Caenorhabditis elegans: one gene and its partner. The protein of the gene in region 1 purifies or fractionates together with the protein of each later gene. This does not show direct contact. Each region holds a gene or a part of one and is shown on either strand. Other genes may lie near its edges. The genes, in order: Y62H9A.14 and cbs-2.

Evidence for each region.
Region 2: the proteins of Y62H9A.14 (region 1) and cbs-2 fractionate together in Caenorhabditis elegans (co-fractionation; one large-scale study listed by BioGRID). This does not show direct contact.

What each region holds. Positions count from the first base shown.
Region 1 is NC_003284.9:11,919,117-11,923,774, reverse strand, and holds Y62H9A.14 (CIA30 domain-containing protein), read right to left. Parts: upstream 2,543-4,658; 5' UTR 2,524-2,542; coding exon 2,356-2,523; intron 1,680-2,355; coding exon 1,192-1,679; intron 1,149-1,191; coding exon 1,062-1,148; intron 1,008-1,061; coding exon 921-1,007; intron 879-920; coding exon 738-878; intron 692-737; coding exon 658-691; 3' UTR 601-657; downstream 1-600. Other genes in the region: Y62H9A.16 (Transposase_23 domain-containing protein), read right to left, coding at 3,330-3,331, 4,128-4,319, 4,366-4,455, 4,498-4,569.
Region 2 is NC_003280.10:2,219,586-2,225,084, reverse strand, and holds cbs-2 (Putative cystathionine beta-synthase cbs-2), read left to right. Parts: upstream 1-1,517; 5' UTR 1,518-1,544; coding exon 1,545-1,662; intron 1,663-1,708; coding exon 1,709-1,776; intron 1,777-2,371; coding exon 2,372-3,174; intron 3,175-3,218; coding exon 3,219-3,325; intron 3,326-3,518; coding exon 3,519-3,970; intron 3,971-4,014; coding exon 4,015-4,406; intron 4,407-4,452; exon of another isoform or gene 4,453-4,572; coding exon 4,573-4,621; 3' UTR 4,622-4,689; downstream 4,690-5,499. Other genes in the region: F54A3.5 (MICOS complex subunit Mic10), read left to right, coding at 427-600; Y59C2A.3 (Trichohyalin), read left to right, coding at 5,175-5,243.

The DNA of each region.
Region 1 (4,658 bases):
CGATGAAACGAAAACGATCAATACGATCGTTTTTGATTATGTCCAATAGACGCGTCGAAGAAAACATAATTTGAACCAGAGCCTTTTTCAAAATTTTTTGGCATGCTGAAATTAAGTTTATATCTATTTTCAGTTGTTCAATTATTCTAAATCCCCGTCGTCAAGAATATTAATTTAGGAAAATAGACTTCGAAAAAAAAAATTGAAAATTGGATAAAAATCTAATAGACAGCGCAAATGTAATAGGGACTGCAAGTATAATATTGAGCGCAAGTCTATTTTTTCGATCGATCTTTTTGTGTGCAATTTTAATAGGGGCGCAATACTAAGACAATACTTACTCTCCCTTCGAAAACCTGAAAAATACAGAAGTATTCTACACGATTAAATGTTTTATAACTAATACAACTTTTTGAGAAGAGGGCATATAATACACAAGTCAAACATAAACTAGGTTTTGAAAAATGTTTTCGTTTTGTTTTAACGTCCGCATTTTCATTAAACCAGTTTATTGTCTAGACATTCGTTTAGTTTAATGCAGTCTAGGTATCATTTTCTATGCTCGCCGACAAAATCTTCGCAAAAAGAAAATATATAATTTTTTCGGTAAAAGTTGTTATTTATTAACAGAATACATTGATGGGAATTAAATGGAAGTTACGGCGCTGTGGTTCTCCGTAATTCGTTGTACCTGAGCATATTAAATCTTAAATAAAATCTACGTCTAATCTTCATACCTTCCACGCCATGCAGTAGAACTTGAAGTAGGAAAACCACCAAATTGGATATTGCAGCCCGAGTGTTCTTTCCGACTATCCACTAGAATAACTTTCATCGGGACAATGGTCTTGCGACGACTGGCTTGACCATATTGAGATCTAAATGTTAATATATTCAAAACGTTTAAGATAGTGTCTTACGGTTTCGTGTTAGGAAGCGTTTTCGTTGAATTAATATCAATTGATGAATTCCAGATATTATTCATTTTTGAATAGTTGTTAATAAAACTGCAATTATAAACAATTATACTAAGAAATTTGAATAAAAATTAAAGTTGTCACCTTCTGGGTTTGCATCCATCAATTCTACGCTGGAATAAACTTCGATAGCTCTCACATGTTTTGTTGGATCCATTAGACCTGTTCCAACTATTTTTTTGAACTGCTTCTAAAAATTTTCCGTAAGACTTACCGCTGCTTGCTTGAGTTATTAGTTTGCTCGGTAAGACTCAAGGATGGAAATATTTGAGCATATTTATTGGTGGGATCTTCAAAGCTGTCACATGGTTTGCGAAGGTTCTTTTTGTCTAGTCCTGTGGACAGCAGGTCATATTGATATAACGATGGGTTCTTTTCATAGTTTTCCTTCGAGGAAGCATGATGCTTGTTTAACGGGAGAAGATTGTCAAACATGGTAACCTCAATGTGCACATCCTTGAAAACTGGTCCAGTTGAAAACTCAGCGCCTGTTTTTGGATTGCAATACAAACTCCAAATGGACGCTCTACAATATTCGGTTAAGAATGTCCCAATCATGCTCCAATCGAACTTTTCAGGATAAATTCTGACCAGTTCCTTGAATCCATACTCTTCAGACCCTGCTATTGGAATTTCACAAAGATGACTCCAGTCTTCTTCTAGAGCTTTTGCAGAAAGTGCACTCCAAGCTGAATCACGAAGCTGGAAGACATTTCGATAATTGAATATAATCAATGCTTAAATACAAATCAGACAATACTTCAATTCTTAACTAACGTAGTTTTTGAACTAGTGTTAAAACCAAGCATAACCAAGATATAAAACGTTAAAATATAACACTAGAATGAAAGATTAAAAGGAAAATTACGGTTTCATTTTTCATTTTCTATCTTACAATTTGGAAAAAGAAGAAAATCTAAGAATTTTCACAAATGATGTAAAGCTTTAATTTATTTGTTCGAATAATAATATATTAAACTATAAAAATTGCAATCACCGAGTATAAAATGGACTTAAGCACAATTGTTTCAGCTTGACATTTCTATCATGTGATATTTCCACTTTGTTCTTAATAATGTAGTTCTAATACACTTTATAATCACAATTACAAGTTTCAAGTGATGAATACATATTAGAAGTTCTTCCATGTATTAGGTCTCCAAATAAGTTCCGGATTAAAATTGATAGTTTTGTTTGCTGCGTATGGTTTTTTATTTGAAACTGAGGATTTTGTTATCATTTTGATTTAGTACATCACACTCAAATGTTTGTAGTAGACATATTTTTTCGGAGAAATTTCGAGTTTTTGGGTGTTTATCGAAATCCAAATTTCAAACCCAAACGTGTGTTGTATCTGTTTCACTAAATATGCACTTACAGGAAAACTGAAACTATTAGGAATGAACCCGCGCTCGGTTTGAAGCCAAAATCCGTATTTTACAGTCTCCGAGCCATCACCGAAAGAAATCGGTATCTGGTGCCAATCATATTGCCCGACCGTAGTGCAATCAGATAATGTAGTTAATACTCCTTCGGCTCCACCCATATTTATTTGATATCTGAAAGTTTAATCTACTTCCGTAATTTGACAGTAAGTGAAGACATGCATTTAACATACGGAATCAAACAAAAAGTTATCGAAACTGGAACAAAAAAAATTCTTTGAAATCTGATTATTTTTAGAAGAAAGAGAGAATTGAGAATTTATCATTGTTTTTTTTCTTAGCTTTTCACGAGAATAAAGCATGAACTTAAAAGTAAAAGAAAACTAATAAACTAAGAAGAATGAAAAATGAATTAATAATCTAAAACTTGAATTAAATTTTAATTATTAGCGTGCGACATGACGATTCGCTTGTGACGTCCTGTGGCTCCTCTCATCTTTTGATGAATTGAAGACAATTAGCATTAAGAAACACGCGTGCATTGCATCTATGAGAAAGTGTCACTTCTGACCAAAAACAGGGGATTTGAATAGGAAAGGAAGAGAAACAAAGAGTACAAGAAAAAATGGCGTTGTGAGCCGTGGAAAGGGCGGATAAAATAAAAGAGAATGAAGTGGCATGGAATGAGAATATCTACTCTGCGCGCTCATTCTTTCTTCGGTTGGTTTTTATCTCGTTGCAACAGGTACAATTCCAGATTTATTATATTTTTTGTCAAAAACACCAATTGAAAGAACATACTGAATGATATAATGATGGAAATATATTTCGGATATGAAAAAATATTCTTAAAATGATACGAATAATGAAAAAGCCCGGGTAGAGAAATTACGTTGCTGCAATGATGGATGCGTTGAAGATGAATTGGAAGAATGTTGCGCATTGATGAAGGTGCATTCGTATACATTTCTGAAACCAATATAAAATTGATACACTTTTTACAATAGGGTTGAATCAAAAATATTTTCTAATTTTAAGCAGTAGAAATGGCTCAAATGGAGGAAAAACTCCAAGTTAGAAAAAAAAGGGGGTTTGATGAATAGTCAAAAATTCGGTGAACTAGCAAAAACTATAATTTAAGGGGTTGTTGTGTGCTTGATATAAACTTTTAATTAAGAATAAAAAATTCATTAAATCGACATGTATTGCAATTAGTTGATAGTTGATAATTTTCACGATGATTGGCAAAATATTTCAATTTTTGCTAGGTAGTAGCTTTCTATCGATAAACTTCTCTTCAAAATATTTTGTAATGCCATTATGCAAATCACGTGCACTTTTGGCTGAAAATAGAATTCTTCAAATTTCAAGAAGCCTAATATTTGTATTTGTATGCTCAAATAATTGAAATTGGATTTCAAATTTTGTTTCGTCAGCTATAATTTATTATTCAGTCTCATGAAAAAGTAAAGTGCAAGATTATTCTTCTTGATCATGTGTATGTCTGACATACGCAAAACTTGATTTATCTACATAACGGAGATTCCAAGAAAAGTAACAGCGTCATGTTAGATTTCAAAATTAAACAAAAAAAGTGTTCTGAAGTTTACGGGGTTGGATTCAATTTTAATTTGTTTTAACGTTCATGCGAGTTTTGATATTGAAATATATTTTAACCGCAAAAACACTCGTCAGAAAAGCAATAACTTATGCATTCTGTTTATTGAATGCTTGGCAATGTATTTGAAGTTAGAGTAAAACATACAGTTCTTCTTTTTCTTTTTGATTGGCGGCGCCATTGGTGCTTTTTGTTTTGATCTTCCTGACTTTTTCCCTGTTTTCCTAACTTTGTCATCGTCGGTATCACCGTCGGAATGGTTGCTGTCAAAGATCCAGCTAGGAAGCACGAACTCCTGAAAACCTAGTTCCAAAACCTTTTCAGCATTTTTTGAGAGAGCTGAAAATTGAATGTACAATTAAGAGAATTGGGTGTCTTCACAGACCATATCCAATTCTTCCTCCTGGCCATGTTCTAAGTTCTCTTGGAAGTGTGTAGCTCTCGGTGGTTTGAACATTCGACAACGAATGAAAAACTTAAAATCTTAAAACATATTAATTTTTAGACTATTGCTAACCAGCGTCATAGATCGTCACTTCCGGAAGATTCAGATGTCCAAAAACTGGATTATCGGAGAAACGTGGAACTTCTGGAAATGGGTAGTTTTTTGACCATTTTGCGAAAGTTCTAATTTATGTTTTGATAATTTTGCGAATATTAATAATGCTAAAACCCCGT
Region 2 (5,499 bases), on another chromosome or scaffold:
AATTTTCAAAAAATCGCAATTAAAATGTCCTTTTTGTGATACTTTTTGAAAAAATCGATACTTTATTGATTTTTCAACAAAAAAATTGATAAATCATTGATTTTTCGCTATTTTAAACGAAAAATCAATAAATTATCGATTTTTCATTGAAAAATAGCAAAAAATCAATGATTTATCGATTTTTCAATGGAAAATTGTTGAAAAATCGATAAAAATATCGAATTTCAGTCGATTTTTCACAATTTTCCGGTGATTTTTCGCGATTTCCACATTTTTCCGTCAAATTTCCTTTTTTTTTCTAAAAAAAAACGTAGAAAATCTATAAAAATTGATTTTTCAAAAAAAAAAAATTTCTTCGAAAAATGTTAATTTTCAGCCGAATTTTCTCGATTTTCCCCCGAAAAAAAAAAGCTCATTTTTTTGCAGAGCCGCTCGTGGCCAATTTGGTTTGGATCAGGCGTCGGTTTGGGCACCGGATGGTCGAATTGCCGTCACGATTTCGCTTCGCCGTACGTTTTGCACGGAAAACGTGTTCCAGCTGGACAGGATTCGCAAGGAAAACCGGCATACAATATTATCACCGAACAACACAAGCAATAGAGAAAAGAAGAGATAAATTTTCGATTTTTTTGAGATTTTTTTGAATTTCCGCCCGCCACCCCGCTTTTTTTTGTTCTCTCTTGTGTCGAAAAATAGGAAAATGTGTGAATAAACTTATGAAAAAATATCGATTTTTTCGGATTTTCACATGGAAAACGGAACATTTTCAGATTTTCAGATTCAAATTCGAAATCCCCGCAAAATTTTGAGCTGAAAATTTAGGATTTGACTAAGAAAATAGCGAGGAATTCGAATTTCGCATTAAAAATGCACAGAAATTATTCGGAGCTCTCAAAAAATGAGCAAATTTTCAGAAAACGGAACAAAAATTTTGAATTTTGACGGGTTAACCGAAAATTTGAAAATTGCAGTTTTCTATAAGAAAAAAAATCGGGAAATGGATGGAAAAGACAGATTTTTCATTTTTACATCAAAAATTTAAGAAAATTCTGTTTAAAACTGCTAAAAACCGATTTCTTTGCAAAACCCTGTTAAAATATGATTATTTCCAATTTTCGAGCTCAAATTCGAGTTCCCCACAAAATTTCAGGCCAAAACCCGAAAACTAGAGGTTTCTAGTTCAATTTTGAATTTTCCCGGATTACGGTAGCGCCAAAAGTACGCAAACACCGACTACCAGTACTTCTACAGTACCCCTATATTTCTAAACCCCTGCAAATCTTTAAAATACGCCTGAAATCCATGAAAATTATAAAAATTCGGCTGAAAATTGTGAAAATATCCATATCACGTGTAATTTAAATAAAAGAAATCAATGAAAATTTAATTTAATTTTAAATTGATGACGTGTAAATGATCTTTCAAAAAAGAAGAAAATTTCCGTATGACCTCCCGTGTTATTGTTTTCCACATCCTTATCTCGTGAATTTGATCAGTTTGGAAATCAATCAATAATCAGTTTCAACTTTTTGCCCGACTGGAGGATGTGCCTGCCTACCATTAAAGCATTCAAGACAATTCTGGACGCCGGGAGCCACCGAGCAACTCAACTGGTGCCGTTGAAGAAGCTGAAGGCCGAGTTTCAGCTGAAAAGTGATATTTGTGAGTTTCTATGTTTCAGAAAAATCTGAAAATTTCCAATTTTCAGATGTCAAACTCGAATATCTCAACATCTCCGGGTCGCTGGAAGATCGTGCGGCTCACCGAGCATTTGAGGTGAGAAAACGGAGAACAATTGGGAAATGTCAATTCAAAATTCGAATTCCTTGCAAAATTTCAGTCTGGGACTGCAGAAACTAGCTGAAAATCGCTTCATTTTGAAGAATTTCCAGCTTCGACCGCGACGCGGCCGCAACGCGCGGAAAAATTGCCGAATTTCTGGTTTTTAACCGAATCTGGTCGATATGGGGTTTAAAATTTAGCAAATTTTGCGGGAAATTCGAATTTTTTAGTTAAAATTTTCCACATTTCCGGGAATAGTCACAAAATTATAGGTGTCAGTTAAAATTTTTGGTCACAATGGACTAAAAATAATTTTTACCAATTTTCGCTGCTAAATTCGAATTTATCTTAAAATTTCAGTCGGAAAATCGAAAACTAGAGGTTTCTAGCTCAATTTTGAAATTTCTCGGGGTACGGTAGCGCCAAAAGTACGCAAACACCGAATTTCACGCGATTTTCGAGTTTTGAGCTGAAAATTGAGTTTTAGACTCAGAAAATGGCGAGGAATTCGAATTTGATAATAAAAAATCCCAGAAAGTAATCTAAAATCTCAAAAACAAATTTTTTTAATTGATTTTTTCTTTTTCAGATGTCCAACGGAATCCAACGAGGCGACGAGGTCTACGTGACCGCCGGCGGATCATCTGCAGTCTCCTATGCCACCGTGGCAGCCGTCAAGGGGGTCAGACTAACCGCCCACGCACCTCCCGGAGCATTCGACCAGGTCAGGACGATTCTGAGCACTTTGGGAACCAAGATCGTGGAGCTCCCGGTTTCAAACTTCCGAGAAGCTCGGCTCCAGGCTGATCTACTGGCCAAGCGTCGAGGTGTCTACAATCTTGATGGGATCTGCGAGAAAGCCGCGTTTCTGGCGAATCTTGAAGGAACTGCACCGGAGATTGAGAAGGCTGGGAAGACCAGTGCAGTTGTGGTACCCCTGGATGCTGGTGGAGCTTCAGCGGCAGCAGGGATCGCTGCTTACTTCTTAAAGGATCAGAAGACAACAGTGGTCGGAGTGAGATCTTCAGCTTCAGCTTCAGCTTCAGCTCCAGCTCCAGAAACAGAAGTTCTTCTGCAGAAGTACAAGGTGGAAATCCGAGATGCTCCTGAATCCTACACCTTCACCAGACACCTCATCGAGACGGAAGGGATCATGGCTGGACCATCTTCCGGAGCGGCAGTGCTGGAAGCCATCAAACTCGCCAAGGATCTTCCAGCCGGGTCAGTGGTCGTGGTGGTTCTGATGGATGGAATCAGGGACTATCTAGATGCTGATTGGATGAAGGTGAACGGCAAGAAGCCTATCAAGCCTCGTGAGATCTTCGACCCGAAGGTGCTGGACTACGATCCGACGAAGATGGTCGGGGAGTGGAAGAGTTCCAGCAAGTTCAGGTAGGTTATAGGATCTGAGATTTAGCAGAAAATTTGATTTTCAGGCCGGAAAGACCACTGGTTCTCGACTCAGTCCTCGATGCGATCGGCAAGACGCCACTGGTGAAGCTTCAGCACGTTCCGAAGGCTCATGGAGTCAGGTGCAATGTTTGTGAGTTGGGAATTCCTCTGTCCGGTCTAGTCTAGTCTAGTCTAGTCTAGGCTAGTCTAGTCTAGTCTAGTCTAGCCTAGCCTAGTCTAGTCTAGTCTAGTCTAGTCTAGTCTAGTCTAGTCTAGTCTAGTCTAGTCTAGTCTAGTCTGGCCTGGCCTGGTCTGCCAAAAATCCTCATCTTGGACAATTTCAGATGTCAAATGCGAGTTCCTCAACGCGGGCGGCTCCACCAAAGATCGAATCGCTAAGAAAATGGTCGAAATTGCTGAGAAAACCGGCAAACCCGGAGCACTCACCCCCGGAGCCACCACCCTCATCGAGCCCACCTCTGGCAACACCGGGATCGGCCTATCCCTGGTCGCGGCGGTCCGTGGCTACAAATGCCTGATCACGATGCCTGAGAAGATGTCCAAGGAGAAGTCGACGACGCTGTCGGTGCTAGGATCCACGATTGTCCGGACTCCCAACGAGGCGGCCTTCAACAGCCCGAGCTCTCACATCGGAGTGGCTCTTCGCTTGAAGCATGAGATTCCGGGTGCGGTGATTCTCGATCAGTACTGTAATCCGGGGAATCCACTGGCACACTATGAGGAGACTGCGGAGGAGATTTTGTGGGATATGGGGGATCGGAAGATTGATCTAGTGGTGAGTAGGAACTTCGGATCAAGCTTCAACTGTTACTCTTACAGGTCCTTGGCGCAGGAACCGGTGGTACCATCACCGGAATCTCTCGGAAGATCCACGAGCGCCGTCCCAACGCGATCGTCGTCGGCGTTGACCCGAATGGATCAATCCTGACCGGCCCGACGACTGGACCCGCTCCAGATTTCTACGAGGTTGAAGGGATCGGCTACGACTTCATCCCGGGGACCCTGGACGAAAAATCAGTAGATTCCTGGCTAAAATCTGATGATAAGGAGTCATTCCTGATGGCTCGAGAGATCATCAGAACCGAGGGGATCTTGTGTGGAGGATCGTCGGGATGCGCGGTGCATTACGCGTTGGAGCAGTGCCGGAAGCTGGATCTGCCGGAGGATGCGAATGTCGTTGTGCTGCTTCCAGACGGGATTCGGAATTATCTGTGAGTTGTCTGGGCCTGGGGCCTACAAAATTAGGCCCAGCTTGCTTTGAGGTCTATTTGCTGTTTGATCTCTGAAAATTGCGGGAAACCTATAGTTTTTGTCGTTTTTAGAGGTCAAAATACTACTCTGTAGCCCCGAAAGCCAAGCTTAAACATAATTTTTCAGCACCAAATTCCTCGACGACGACTGGATGAAAGCCCGCGGCTTCTTGTAAATTGTGACCTAAAAAAATACTTGAAATTGGAATTATGAACTGAATTTTTGACATGAATGAAGATTTTTCTCTTTTTAACCGAGTGCAATCGCGCTCCATTGATATTTTTCCAGATAATTGGGCTTTTTTCCCGAGTTTTTTGAGATATAACCGATTTTTCATTAAAATCGATGAATTTTAGTGGTTTTTGCATTAAAAATGACCGAAAATGCATTTTTCCAGCAATTCGCCCTGTAAAATTAGTGAAAATATGGATTTTTCGTCATATTCCCTGCAAAATAGACAACAGAAGCCATAATTCAAATAACAGAAGCCATATTCGCCGTCCAGCTCAATCGCGCTCCACCGCACCACACTCAAATCCCCCTGCCACCCCGGCACGCGAAGGGGGCCCGGACAATGAGACACCCTGCACACTTACTCTCGCCGCCTCTCGCTCTCTCCGCTCTCGCATTTTCTATTGATTTTCCTCTTGTTTCCTCGAATTTTTTAGTATTCTAGAGCAGAATTTGGTGTTTTAAATCAATTTTTTTATATTTTAGAGCTCGAAATTATGACTTCTCTCGTGTTTAATGACAAAATGATGGCGGAAGAGGGTATGATGGTTCCACAAGCGGAACAAGTGAGTTTTTTGTGAGAAATGAATTAATATCGAGATTTTCCTGTGAAAAATGCTCAAAATCATAATTTTTAGGAGAAAATTTAAAAGAAAACGTCAAAATAGGAAATATTCTGAGCTTGTTATAGGAAAAAAAACCGTTAAAAAAAATGATTCCACAGAGGTTTTTTTGCTGATTTTTATCGAATTTCGGCCTAAAATTTCACTAAAAATTCATTAAACCCCAAGATTCACTGATAAAATTTTGAAGAAATTGCGA